Stegostoma tigrinum: one gene and its partner. The protein of the gene in region 1 purifies or fractionates together with the protein of each later gene. This does not show direct contact. Links are inferred from orthologs where the notes say so. Each region holds a gene or a part of one and is shown in the gene's direction. Other genes may lie near its edges.

Region 1 (7,988 bases):
AGCTGAGCATTTGATAGCTTTGAATGCATGAATTGGAGTGGAGAGGCCAAAGAAAGATTTTCAAGCTTTTATCCCTAATAGGTTTAGGCTTTGTGTTTTATACATTTCCTAGCCAAGTACATGTCTGAGAGTATGTATTGTGATTGTTACAACACATTTAGAAAAATCTGTTGATACTTGAGAACCAGAAATCCCAAGGTAGTCGCAAAAGTTAAAGATTCCATCAAAGTATACAAAGTCTCCAACTTACCTATCTGATGGACTCAGATTAAAAGAAAACTCCGAACAGATTTCCTCATCTAAGAAGAATTACTATTTGTTACAAATACATAAATTCTAAGCAGAGGCAAATAGCTATGATCTATCAACATATCACTCCAGTAGTTAAACCATTCACCCTACTTAAAATGCCAACACACATGCAAACAGACAAAGATAATGGTGTTCAGAGATAATGGGAACTGCAGATGCTGGAGAATCCAAGATAACAAAGTGTGAAGCTGGATGAACACAGCAGGCCAAACAGCATCTCAGGAGCACAAAAGCTGACGTTTCGGGCCTAGATAATGATGTTACAGGTAGTGGAAAATCACAATTCAATAGCATCAATCACAGGTTTTGATGAGGTGTTCCTTTTTATTCCCAAGACCTCTATTCTGCGTAGTCCTTACTTCCTGATTTTTAGCTCTTTGGCAAAGGCAAAGGAAATTTATGCAGTAATTATTCAATTTCACTGTCTTTATTGAGAGGCAGCACCTCAAAGCTAACAGTGGACAGAATTACTGTCTTCAGGTTTGACTTACTTGCTGCAAAGATAGCGAGGTTATCCCTCCTTCTTCCAGTCTAGAGACCTTATGTGTCTCTGAGATACACATACCTACACACACAAACAGCTGTCTTCAGACTGATTTTCACAGCTGATCACAATTGCACAAATCAGTTAGCTATCTGATGCTAGCCGATCCTAGCTCCATACCATCTTATCTCACCTCCCCACTGCTTGAAAAGTAATAGTGTAAACCAACTGACAACAAGTTCAAAAAAAATTCCTTCCCCAGTCAGACTGGGGTGTTTTTGAGATCTGTCTCCTTGCCCTACTTGTGATAGAGCTTGCGAGTATTCTCCTGTGTTTCAGCAGATAATTGAAGAAGAAAGGCTTATCTAAGTATTGGTGGCTGCTGATTCCATGGAAAGTAATTGTTTAAAAGCCAGAGTTGGAAGCTTAAACATCATATTTCCATTTGAGCCTCCTCCACTGAAGCAACATGTCCAGCCCAGCTTTCCATTATGTACAACAGTAACCTCTACAATGTTGCCAGATCTGTTTTTTCTCCAGCAACTTCTGTATTTGTTTCAGATCTTCAGCACCAGCAGTTTTGTTTTATTTCAGCAAACTTCTTTCTTATCTGCAGCTATGTTGAAATGGCAATGAGTAGCTGCAGTGACTTGATCATCCACATCCTGCCATGCAGCTTGCAGTAGGAGTTACTTAGTATTACAGACAACAACGTTATGCTCATGTCTGCTCTGAACTGTTGTAAACAAATTGTCCCCTTTTCTGTCATCACCACAACATATCCTTTAAATGGTATGTTTGTCACCCCTTAAGAGCTCATCAAAATGATTGGAAAAGCATTAGACCCCATAATGGTGGTTTGTGATAAAGACCAAAAATATCCTTAAGATTTCTAACTTACATGTAAAAGCCTTGTTTTTTGCAGTCCGCAGTTAAACTGTGCTTGCTTTTACAACTCTTTCAAAATGTTAAATCCAGCTATACACAGTACTTGTACACAACGATAACAGTTTGCATAATGTCTTTTTTTATCTCTCCAGAGAGAATGTCATTTTGCAATTCCATTCTATACAGCACAGCAGATGTTGCCACTGAAGGCCGATGAAAGACACCACACGGCCAGGAATCATTACTCATGGTCACGGAGAAGAAGCTCACCCAGAGAAGAGAGTCTATATCTTGTTGTTGAACTACAGAAAGACCCATCACCCAGATGTTATATTGTATTATGAATTGCTAAATTTCTGGAAAACCAAACAGAATTCTTTACACAACAGAATCCCAGGCAATAACAATTATAAAATGAAATTGCCTATGAGAAATAAATTCCTCAAACATTAATTAAAGCAATAAAAGATATATTTTACTGCTGTACTGCAAACATGCTGACATTCTGGTAACGTGCTTCCCTGGGATAACACTTTCTCAAATTGCACTATCTACCTCAAAACAGTGGCTGCAACTCTACTAGATTTCTCGTCTGAAACTAGATGCTTTAAATGCAAATAAAAAGCAGAAAGACTGAAAGAACAGATTTAAAATCACACTGCTGAATAGAAAAGGCATTGCTTATATATGTTTATGTATATGATGAGTTTTGCTTATCCCGCAGCTACTAACAATAATATAAAGTAAAATGCCGAAAGAAATACTGACCTGACTTTTGAATATTTCCAGCATTTTTTGTTATAGTTTTAACTTTTCAGGATATGTGACATTTTATTTTAAGAGTTACCTTGCACTGAAAGGAGACTATGGGTGGAGGAAGCTTTTCTGGTAACACTGAAAACTGACTAAGGTTATAAAATGTGCCCAGAAAGCAAATTTCAAATCTGCCCACATCAGAGTTATGTTTTTCATATTGCCAAGTTCATAGAAGGCAATCTCACCTTACCATCTTAAAGGACACTCAGAGTTAGATCAAGATCTGTCTCTAGCATTTTACTCCACACTTAGGATGCCGTAGCCCTGCAGCATCCCTGAAACATTATGGACATCAAAGTCACCTACTTCAGACTCCTGCTTATTGACTACAGCCCCCCTCCAGATTGACCTCAAAACTGTGTGACCTCAGTCTCGACTCTGCATTCTGACCCATAGGCTGCACTCAGTGAGGATAGGTAACTGCATCTCCTCCACAATAACACTCAACACTGGGGCGCCCCCCCCCATGGAAGCATCTTCAGCCACCCACTGTACTCCCTGTACACCCGCAATGGTGTCGCCAAATTCTGAACAAACGCCATCTACAAGTTCGCTGACGACACCACCATAGTCAGATGCATATGTAACAATGACGAGTCAAAATACAGAAAGGAGGTAGAGGGGATTGGTGATATAACAAAGTGTGGAGCTGGATGAACACAGCAGGCCAAGCAGCATTTTCCTCGCACAAAAGCTGACGTTTCAGGCCTAGACCCTTCATCAGAAAAGCTGATGAAAAAGAAGGGGATTGGTGACCTAGTGCAATGAAAATAATCTGTTTTTCAACGTGAGGGAAACTAAAGAACTGATCATCGACTACAACAAGAAAGGAGGAGAACATGCCCCCATCTACATCAACAGAATTGAGGTTGAGAGAGTGAAGAGCATCAAGTTCCTTGGAGTGATGATACCCGACAACCCTGGGTTCCCACATAAATGTGACAGTCAAGAAGGCATGACAATGCCTCTTCCACCTCAGATGGCTCAGGAAATTTGGCACATCCATAAGGTCCCTCGCCAACTTCCACAGATGCACCATTGAAGGTGTACTGTCCAGGTACAAAATGGCCTGGTATAGCAACTGCTCTGCCTAGGACCTTAAGAAACTGCAGAAGGTTGTGTGCACAGCCCAAACCATCATGTAGGGCAACCTTCCATCCGTGGACTTAATTTACATGGCATGCTGCCACGGAACAAGCAACATTATCAAAAACCCATTGCACCCTGGTAATGACCTCCTACAATCTCTTGCGTGAGGCAGAAGATGTAGAATCCTGAACACACACACACACACACACACAAGCAGGTTCGGGAACAGCTTCTTTCCAGCCATTATCAAATTGTTGAATGGAATCTAGCCTCAAATAATGTAACCTGTATGCCTCTAACTATTTTTGATATATATATCCTTTGCTTGTTGTGATCTGTCTGTACCACTCCTAATCAAAGTTTTTCACTGTATTTCAGTACAGGTGACAATAAAATCAGAATCAAAACTTCTGTGTGAATATAAAACTGGCATTGTAAGAGCAATCATTAGGAAGCAGCTTGTCTTATTGCACAATGGGAAATTGTGTAGGTTTATATCCTTATCTATGCCAGCTGTGACTCAGTGATAATGCTCTCCACTGGGATTCAGAAGAGTGAACGTTCAAGTTCCACCTCTGAGAATTTATCCAAAATCAAGGCTAACGCTCAGATGCGGTACTGGTAGAAGGCTGGGCTGTCAGAGATGCCGACTGGGCATAAGACTTTCAACGAGACTTGATCCAAAGCTGCAAGTTCACTACTTATCAGACAAACATCACTAAAATAGGTTATACGGTCATTGTCACATCGTTGTCTGTGGGACCAGCTTGTTCAAGTTGCACCTGCATTACTAATGAGGCAACATTGTGAAAACGGTTAATAAGTGGTGACTGGGGCACTATATAAACGTAATGCTTCCTTTCTCTTTGACACATGGTATACAATAAGATGTATCACAATTCGTCATAATTTCACAGCTCTAACTCCGTCATAAGCCTCCCAATACACAGACAGAATTTTAGGCTAAAAACGAGTTTGTGAAACGTGATGGTGATTTCTACAATGATCAACCGAGTCATTCCCAATGCAATTTGAAGAATAAGTCGCTGACAGGTTTCAATATCCGGAAGTATTTTCCTGGAGAAATAGTCTCTTAATTGTTAGTTTCTTCTTAATTGTTATATTAGACCATTGTGACGACACTGGGGAATCCTGTATCTTGCTTACTTACTATTCTATAAAACGATGAGAGAGGAGCGTTTTTCAAATGTGTTGTAAGGAAAGTAAAAGTCGTCCCGTTGGTGTTATAACAGGTTAATCGGAGGGACTGTGAAATATGATAGTCTTTAAATAGCCCTGTGCTATAAATAAGTTATCTCCAGTCACTTCTTGCGTTGATACTGTACATAGATCGTCTTTTTGTATAAAATAGTAACAGCTACATTTAGACTGATTGCTCTATGATCACGAGATCATTATTGTCGTCGGCAAATTTTTTTTTGTTGTTGTCATTCCTTCGGTTGAGTCTACGAAAATTTCGTTCCAAAACCCGGGGACGAAAGCATTGGAACGATGGCTCGGGTCAGCAAAACAGTTACTTCAATCACTTCTAAAGAGGAAAAACGTGAAAGCCAAATTTATGAAAATGTTTTTTCTGAGATCGAAACGTTGGAGTTGCCACTTGGTACGAGCTTACGGTAGGTTACCTGGCTTTCTACCGTCCTATTTAAGCTCTCTATAAAGTAATAGACTTTTCGCTGTTTACTTTTCCAACTGCTACTTTTGTAATGTAACAGCGAAGTAAAGCGGTTTAATTTGGGACGGTTGATTGTGGGGCAAAATGAAATTCCAATTGCCTTGTTTAGTAATCACGACTATAAAACTAGATCAGGTTGGTGAGTGTTGCTAGTAAAAATAGGCAGTTACGAATCGAACAGCCTCGTAAGGAGTGATAAAAGTGAATTGGTACATCTTTTATGACTTCATTTTAAAAACAAATGACTAGCTAAAAGTGAAAATCATCGTCGTCTGGATAACGAATACTTCTATTACACTTTTTTAAAAAAGTAGTTCGGGGGCTCTAGCCAGGCTTAGAGGTGTCTGTGAAATACGACATGGCTCCGAGCTAGTAAAATTAGGTTTGAAACATTTTTTAAAAGAAAACTGGCAACAGATGTTGCGAGACCTCTCGAGTTTCTACAATACTACAGAATCTGTAGTGTTTTCTTTGTTAATCTTTAAAAGTTAGTTTTGCGCCATTATCTCCTGCGTTCGCTGCTGACAACTACTTCATAGCAATTACTTTGTGCCTTGCTCTAATTTGCATAGCAGTTCAGTTTGTGTTGAATTGAGTTCTAAATTGTAAATATTTCACTGACCTGTAATAGTATCAGGTAATGAGCAAAGTCACGAGCGTGATTACGCTTAGTTTTTCCACCTATGACCTTTTTATGCCCGTGCGAGCAAGTATCTTTGCCGCGCAGTTTAACACTTCTTTTCGGTCGTCTTAAATTTGCATTTTTAATTAATGAGGTGGATTTTGACCCAGGAGTTTACCTACTGTATATCCATTGTGAGTTTCCACTCCTAGTTAACTGCGCTCATGTTTTTTAAAATACACTATGTTCCTGCTAAGAAACGTCTCTTGGCTTTTGGTGAACGGGAAACCAATGTGTTCTCACCGCGGGTTTTCTGTCAGCCAATAAGAAATTTTAGTATGGAACCAAACACTGTCCAATGCTCCCTTTTTTTGGTCAAGAACTAGCTTGACAGGGGAATGCCTGCAGTTCTCCTCTTTTTCGGTGACGTTTTAAAGATCAGAACCTGGAAAATGCTGACAAAGAAATGATGCCACTTCGACTGGCACAGTCGTGCTCAGCTGTCTGTGACATGTCTGCGTGGATGTAGTCAAACGCTTGCAATCTGGCATTTGCGGTAAATAGCTTTCTGTCCACGAGGGAACGCTACTTCCCACAGCCGCAATTCTACTGAATCTGCTACTCTTAATGCTTTTAGCATACTTGTCTAGCTTCTGTTACTGAAGCCTGGCTAAAAGCATCACAACTTGTTTGTATTCTGCAGTACAAGCTCAGTCCCGGAATTCAGAAATTAGTTAAGTGGGGTTTGCACAATGGGACTGTGTGCAGTTGCACTCTTCAGAGCCTTCCACAAACAATACGAAGGGCCCACTCGTTCTCATTTGAAGCGCTTTACCACCAACCTGATATCAGCCCCGTGCTGTTCGAGACTCGAACACGAAAGGAAAGCTAAAGCTCCTGTTTGGCTTTCGAGCAGCTTAAATAAAAGTTACTACCACCCAGTACTCGAATGTAACTTGCAAGAGGCCGCGCGTCAGTAAACGTTGACGATTTAAAGCGAAATAAAATGGACATTTTTCTATATCACACCAGACAGGTTACGATTTGCCGCAGGTAAAGTCGGGCATAGGCGCGCGCGCGCGTTCCCGCGCGCCGTCGGGAGCGCGCTGACCGGTCACTGTCGGGGATGGGCAGGCAAATGAAAACGGCGGTGGAATAAAAGCAGGCCCGGAAGCGGGTTTGCCAGCGACGGGTTCCCGTTTGACATTAGTAGAGCAGCCGCTAGCAAAACCGAGCACACAGCCACCCCGCCGCCGCCAGCAAACCAGGGCCATGAACCGCTGTTAACCGCAGTAACACTGCTGCCTTCGCCCACGGCCTTGCCTCGCCTCCACAGCCGGGGCCGCTAAGATGGCAGACACCGAGGCCCTGGAGACGGTGACAGAACATGAGCGGATCCTGCAAGAGATCGAAAGCACGGACGCGGCCTGCGTGGGCCCGACGCTTAGGTAAAGCGCCTCTGCTTCCGGTGCCGGCGCTGCCCTGGCACTGGCGGCAGTTCGGGCCCTTTAGCCCGGCTGGGCCAGTATGAAGCGGCTCCCGTTCCGTCTCTGCTTGGCTCTGGGCCTGGAACTACTGGTGCTCCTTCCGCAAAAGTTTGTGCGTGTGTGTTTTCTTTTGTTTTTATTTGAAGGATGTGGGACAGCCGCCGGTTTTCCTGCTACCGCAAACTACAGAGCATGTGGTGGGCAGGTCCTGCATCCCGCACCCTCCATTGCCATGGAGCCTTCTGCCCACCCGGGGGGACGTGCGACATTTTCCTGGTGCCTTCGTATTCGCTGTCACTGGCGCAGCACATTTACAACTTGTCCTGCGTCTAATCGCTCTGTTTGTAGGACTGTGTGCTAGTGTTGCGACTATAAGGTCATTAGTCTAGAAAAATTGTGCAGCTGCTACTTCTCCGTTCGAGATTACAACAGTGAGACTGCCTCACACCCAGGATTATCATTTGTTACAGTATGATTGGGTGTAGGTTTTTGTGTAGGAAGTTCTGCCTTGTACTGTTAAGTGCAATCCACCTTTTGTTTTTGGCACGAGCAGGTTACAGAACGCTCCATTCAGTAGTTTGTGTACTTCATCTG
Region 2 (7,126 bases), on another chromosome or scaffold:
TGGTATGTGAGCAGCTGCCATCTGTTCAAAGTTAACAACCAGCAGCTCCAAGAGGAGAAAAAACACTGGCTTTCAGAATTCTCCAAGCTCTCTAAAACCATCATGTGACTAAACTTATGACATTTCCAGCTAATATTCCTGGCAAGAATTTGACAGGGAAAGGCACGCCTGACTGAAGGACAGTGGAGAAGGCACTAGACATTCCAGAAGACATTTCTAGTTGTAAATTGAGAGATTAAGTACTTTTTAATTAAATTTGATTTATAAGTGTAGGACTTCTATTTACTATAGCATACCAATAGAATTTTGTCTTATCCTGGAATAGTTTCTAGTTCAGGGGGGACAATTGTTCAGTTTCTAAGTAGTTATGTTTATTTGTTTATGGTTCGAGTAGTTAAATTGTTACTTGCTGATCTAGAGTGAGACTGTCAGGACCTCATTTCATTTAACCTCCCCTTTATAACAGATTGGGCAGTGAGAGGCAGACTATCACTTTTCACACTTGCTCTAAGAAACGAGGAGGAGAGGCTATCTTCTCTAGGGTGTTTCGGTTTCAGTTAGTTATCAGAGGCTGGGGTGGGGTCAACCTCTTTAATAAGATGTATCTATTGTTCAAGTATTCCAGTTAATTAAGAGAGGTCCTCAATGTGTAAAAACACACCTGAGTAATAGAAACATAATGCAATGGGTATGCACACATACTTTAATTACAGAATGAATTAAATTACTTAAATATGATGCAACCTTAAGACAGTCATCTCATTTGCACCCTCAACTGATTACTTGTACATTGCTAAGACTGCAATAATACAGTAAACCTGTTACTTAAGGGATATGACTTGCTGGTTTTATCTGAGATTGCAGTTAAAAAAGATATACTAAAAGCTCCAAGGGAATTTGGATTTAAGATGGTTATTTGGCCTGGAGCAAGCTGGAAAGAAACCAATATTGATGCAAACTGCCTTCAATGGATGCCAATACAACCATTTAAAAAGCTCAAACTGCATGAAATCTGTATGTACATCTGAGGTATAAAAGATGCTCACTTTAAAATAAAAATGCCCCACTTTATCAAGTTAAAAATCCATAGTTTTTGAGACTAAAAGTAGTTAAGGTCCAAACAAAAAAGTAGTCATGGCCAAATTTGAGATTTGCCTCACTATTACTGACTGGGAGTTCTACTTCAGCTTTTGAAGTCTCCCAGAGATTACACCAGGCATACTTGCAACTGAATTCGCTAAATATTCATCGTACTACCTTTCCAAATGTAACCACTTTTTTGCTCCGACCTGTTGTAAGTTTGAAACCCTGTACAATTATCCTCTTCACTAGCAGAGTGCTCCACTGTGTGTAGCAAGTGAAATTCAGCTAGGATTTGATGCAAGATACTTTCATTACTTCCGGTTAAGACTGATTTAGTTGCTTCTGTGATTCCAGTTATCTGGGATGCACCTCTTCCTGGTTATGGAAGGATAAGCAGCATGACTGAGGGATTGCAGAAAAGATAGAAATCCTCTCTACAAATGGTAGAGTTACTAAAAAGAAGTTTTCTTCAAGTTATCAGGCTTTTCATGTTTGCACAGGGAAGCATCACTTTCATCCCCAAACTCCAATAAAAATATAATAAAAATAAAAACTGCAAATGCTGGAAATCTGAACAGATTTGTGTTTTCAATAACACAAACAACTTGAAGAAACATAGGTCCAGTGACATCTGGAGAGAAAGCAGAATCAAAGTTTCAAGTCCAGTGACCCATCTTTCAAAACTACCAGACCTGCTGAGTTTCTACTGTAATTTCTGGTTTGTTATTATTGTAAACAAGAGTCTGTTTTGGCTTTCCAGCATCTGTGGCCCTTTGGCTTGTGTTTCCAATAAATACATAGTTTGCTTCATCGCTAAAATATTTTCATTTCAGCCAGCTCAAACAAGCTAGACAGACACCTCAGTCAAAATCAAAAAAGCTTTTGCTAAGCAGAAGCTGTGCAGCTTAACCCCACCAGTTATCCTCAAAAATGTCAATTTATAGGATAAATGGACATGTGGGACAAGTAGCCAGACAGCAAGAAAAATAGTTTACGTTCATAGATTTTTAAATTCATTTTCTTCAGATGTCCCTCTGCATCAGTCATTTATCTGAAGTTACAATATGGAAATCTACCACCTTAGCAGAGAACACGTTACTGTCACTACATCAGTGATTTCTGAGGTAATGCAAACCTGATACCCTTGGAATTTCAGAACTATAAAAACTTTCAACAGAGGGAGCAGCCTTGAACTTATTACAATGCAAGGAGGGTGGGAAGTATATGGACCTTCCATCATTAACACTATCCTGAAGAAAGGATCATGTTCCACAGAAGCATCCTTGCAGAAGAAATTCCTAACCTGGGGGAGATCAGTGCAGTTAGGACCACAGATTCACCAGCCACAATTTCTAAAAAAAAGTGTTGCAAAGAGAACACAGTCACAGGCTAACTAAATTACAGAGTATGTTAACAGGCTGAACTGCCTACTTGTAGAGTAGACTCAATTGACCAGGCACACTTAATGCCAGAACAGAGGCTGCAAATAATGTTTGAAGTTAAGTCTGAAGTGAAATCAGAATTTTATCAGCACACCAGCCTACTTCTTGTAGGAAGGAAATACCAGAGGTCACAGTATTGACACAATCAGCACATACCTCAACCAAGTCTCGCCTGGGTCGCAGTTTCAGCAAAGGTTCACTGATACGTATAGAACACAATCCTCCTCTGCCCTCATAGCTGCACACACCCGCACAACTGTAACAGATCCACAGTAGGTAAGCTCAATTTATTCAGCATGAGAAACAGCAAGTAGCACAAACAATCAACAAGAGTGAAGATTTAATGCAGATGTCAAAAGTGCATTGTCAAGTCTATCCAACTTTGTTTAGAGCGATTTTTTTGTAAAGGAAAAGATGGCAAAAATTGAGATTCAAGATTCCAGATTCCCTCCTTCAATGAGCAGGTCTTTTCAGCACATGCAAGAAAAAAGTACAGCTATTATTTGTAGAGATAACAGAGTGGAGGTGGAGGAGCACTGCAGCATCAGAAGAGCAGGCAAGATGCCATTTCGGCCCCTGCTTTTCTGGTGTTGCCTGACCTGCTGTGCTCCTCCAGCTCCACACTGTTTTATCTCCGACTCCAGCATCTGCAGTTCTCAGAGTCAGCTATTATTTGTGCCGTAGTCTTCTGGATTGGATATTGACGCTAAGTTTTGTTGACCGGCTTCAACAAGGAGACAGGGGAGTGGGATATCGCGGGAAGCACCGACTCCCCTTTCAGCAAACCGCGGTGAAGCCGCGGCCTATCCACAACTCACAGAGTCATCCGCGGGCTCCAGCGAACCTCCACCCCGGACAGCCGGCCCCAGAAATACAAGTCATTAAACTGCAGGAAGAGGCCGTGCAGGTCGGGGTTCGGGTCGATCAGCTCCCAATCCGGGTCCACCACGGACAGAGACGCCGGAGGCTGCGGGACCATACCAGGGCTCGAGCTGGCATCGCTACGGTCCTCCTCGTCCCAGGAGGCCTGCAACTGAAGCGCCAACAACAAATCACCATCCATACCGCTCAGCACCGCCTCCTGCAACCACCCAACTGACGTAGACAAACGGAGGTAGGGCCTCTCCCTTTACTTGGCGAATCACATGATGGAGCCGCAAACATAACAGCCAATGGCAGCGCAGGATGATACCACGGGCCACCCAATGACAAATCAGAATGGGACTACCAACGTTAACCAATGCAAAGTCAGCATTGGAGAAGCAAATCAACAGCCAAGCACAAAAAAAAGCTCAGCAGGTCTGGTCATCTGTGAAGAAAAAGATCAGAGTTCCGGTGACTCTTCCTCATGCAAGCGCACAATTAAAGACAGACAGCCAATCATGATCTAGACAGCTGTCAGAGCGACGAATGGGACTGCGGGTCACGGGGAGCACGGCAACCAATCGGACGCCGGAACCGCCACAGCGTGGCCAATAGGAGAGCGGATTACTGCTGGCGGCGCACCAGTCAGAAGTCAGTATTGGCGCAGTGTGACCAATGGGACTGCGGGTCGTTGCTGACGGCCAGCCAATTGGAGGCTGCAGATGAGCGGCGGAGCCCAGGCCTCGGTAGTCGTTTGGAGGAGCGACCTGACGCAGAGAGCAGGGCCCCCGAGCGTGGAGGCCGGACGGGAGCAGTTGTGAAAAACCCGAGGGCGGTATATATTGTGGTGGGGTGGCTAAATCAACCTCCCACCGGCGGCGGCAAGATGGCGGCGGACGTGGCCTCCAGGCTCCGGCGGCAGCTGGAAACCCCCCGCTTCGAGCCGGCCCAGTACGTGAAGCAGCTGTCGCAGCAGTCAGATGGTGACCGCGACCTGCAGGAGCACCGACACAAGATCCAGAGCCTGGCCGATGAGACGGCACAGAACCTGAAGAAGAATGTCTACAAGAACTACCGGCAATTTATCGAGACGGCCCGGGAGATCTCCTACCTGGAGAGTGAGATGTACCAGCTCAGTCACATCCTCACCGAGCAGAAGGGGATCATGGACGGCCTGACCCAGATGCTGCTGACCGCCGACAGGGAACAGCAGCAGCAACAGGGATCCCGCCAGCTGCAAGCCTCCATGGGCACGGCTGGCGGGACCTCATCGTCCTCTCTCGGCTCCTCCACCACAACTACCACCACCACCACCACCACCTCCACCTCCTCCTCCTCCGAAGCCTTCCTTATCCTGCCCCGGGAGGCCGAGGAGCACAAGCAGCGCACCCTCACCACCCTGCTGGAGAAGGTGGAAGGCTGCCAGGACATCCTGCAAACCCCGGGCCGCTACCTGGTCTACAACGGTGACCTGCTTGAGTGCGATGCCGAGAGCGCAGCTCAGATCCAGAGGGTGCACGCTTTCCTGATGAACGACTGCCTGCTGGTGGCTGCCTGGCTGCCCAGCCGCCGCGGGGCTGTTCGCTACCGCTACGACGCCCTGTATCCACTGGATAGCTTCGCCGTGGTCAATGTCAAGGACAACGGGCCCATGCGGGACATGTTCAAGATCCTCATGTTCCCCGACACGCGGGTCTTCCAGGCCGAGAACGCCAAGGTCAAGAAGGAGTGGCTGGAGATCCTGGACCAAACCAAGAAGAACAAGGCCCTGACTGAGCGCTTGGAGGTGGAGAAAGAGGAAGCCAAGGCCCGGCTGCTGGTGGCCGAGGAAGAGAAGCAACAGAGGCCTCTGTCACCGAAAACTAACCCATTTGAGGATGAGTCTGATCCAGCCATGGAGTTGGTGGACCTGAGCCTGGAATGGATTCAAGAGCTGCCCGAAGACCTGGATGTCTGTATTGCTCAGCGGGACTTTGAAGGCGCTGTTGACTTACTGGACAAATTGAACGAGTACCTGAGTAGAGCAACCAGCCAGCCCGCGGTGCGCCAGCTGAGGAGTCGTGTGGATCAGCGGGTCCGCCGTCTGACTGATGTGCTGATGTATGAGCTATCCCCTGGCCGCTCGCTCCGAGGTGGTCCACGGGCAACCCGCCGTGCTGTTTCTCAGCTGATCCGGCTGGGTCAGTCCACTAAAGCCTGCGAGCTCTTCCTGAAGAACCGGGCAGCTGCAGTGCAGACAGCAATCAGGCAGCTGCGCATCGAGGGAGCTACCCTGCTGTACATCCACAAACTCTGCAACATCTTCTTCACTGGCCTGCTGGACACGGCCAAGGAATTTGAGATGGATTTTGCTGGTGACAGTGGCTGTTACTCGGCCTTTGTGGTGTGGTCACGCTCAGCCACCCGGCTGTTTGTGGATGCCTTCAGCAAGCAGGTATTTGACAGCAAGGAGAGCCTGTCCACCACAGCTGAGTGCGTGGAGGTGGCCAAAGAACACTGCAGCAAGCTCAGTGAGATCGGCCTGGACCTCACCTTTACTCTTCAGGCACTGCTCGTCAAAGATATTAAGGCAGCCCTGCACAGCTACAAGGGCATCATCATGGAGGCCACCAAGCACAGAAATTCAGAAGAGATGTGGCGAAGAATGAACTTGATGACACCGGAGGCCTTGGCAAAATTGAAGGAGGAGATGAAAGCCAGTGGAATCACCAATTTTGATCAGTACACTGGAGATGACTGCTGGGTCAATCTCAGCTACACCATTGTGGCCTTCACAAAACAGCTGATGGCCTTCTTGGAGGAAGGGCTGAAGCTATACTTCCCTGAGCTGCACATGGTCCTTTTGGAAAGCCTGCGTGAGATCATCCTGGTGGCAGTGCAGCATGTTGACTACAGCCTGCGCTGTGAGCAGGACCCAGAAAAGAAAGTCTTCATTCGTGAGAATGTTTCATTCCTGTATGAGACTGTGCTCCCTGTGGTGGAGAGACGGTTTGAGGAAGGAGTTGGAACACCAGCCAAGCAGCTCCAGGATCTCCGCAATGGATCTCGAATCATTCGTGTCAATCCAGAAAGCACTAATTCATTTGTATAAACTCTAGGAGCACTTACAGATAAACCAATGATTGCAGACATTCCCTGCACAAGCATACACTTTTTTTTTATTAATTGCTTCAACACTAATGCTGCATAAACATTGTTTGTGGGACTCATCATGAACTCGCTACCTTAATAAATATACAACATGAAGATCAATGTTCTCCAGTAGATGTGAGCTGCCAATTTCAATTTCACCTGTCCTGTATTTTTGTGTCCTGTTGTATTCCACTAGTAAAAGCACTTGTGGCAGTATTGGTATTTGTTTTAATCAGAACACCGCTATGCAAGAACAATTGAACTTGATGAGAAAGTCTTTGCTGTTCAGCTGATCAGAATTCAGCATAGGAAGATTACATTTGAATTCTAAATGCCAAAACTGGGTTTTTTTTTAAAACTTCTCAGAATTATGGAACACTTAAAAAGAGTTTCAGCCTTTTAAGTCACAGGGAAGTACATCTATTTCAGCAACGACTAAAACATGCGGAGACCGCTGTTTCATAGAGTCATGGCATGTTGAACGCAGAAACAGGGCATTATATCTTAAAGTATGCATTGATGCTACTCTAACATAGTGTCACCGTCCTGACCAAGTCTGTTTTCAACCAACATGTCCCCTTTTAGTTTAATTTATGGCAAAGAAT

The links.
Region 2: the proteins of exocyst complex component 6-like (region 1) and exoc8 purify together in Homo sapiens (affinity purification with mass spectrometry; 4 studies listed by BioGRID and IntAct, counting the BioPlex papers as one, with this or other methods). This does not show direct contact. The link is inferred for Stegostoma tigrinum from reciprocal best matches to the Homo sapiens genes EXOC6 and EXOC8.

Annotation. Positions count from the first base shown.
Region 1 is NC_081373.1:42,065,461-42,073,448, forward strand, and holds the start of exocyst complex component 6-like, read left to right. Parts: upstream 1-4,980; 5' UTR 4,981-5,101; coding exon 5,102-5,226; intron 5,227-6,990; exon of another isoform or gene 6,991-7,257; coding exon of another isoform or gene 7,258-7,355; intron 7,356-7,988. UniProt on the Homo sapiens protein: Component of the exocyst complex involved in the docking of exocytic vesicles with fusion sites on the plasma membrane.
Region 2 is NC_081357.1:94,381,312-94,388,437, reverse strand, and holds exoc8 (exocyst complex component 8), read left to right. Parts: upstream 1-4,082; 5' UTR 4,083-4,275; coding exon 4,276-6,480; 3' UTR 6,481-6,737; downstream 6,738-7,126. Other genes in the region: DNA-dependent metalloprotease SPRTN, read right to left, coding at 2,682-2,781, 3,344-3,588. UniProt on the Homo sapiens protein: Component of the exocyst complex involved in the docking of exocytic vesicles with fusion sites on the plasma membrane.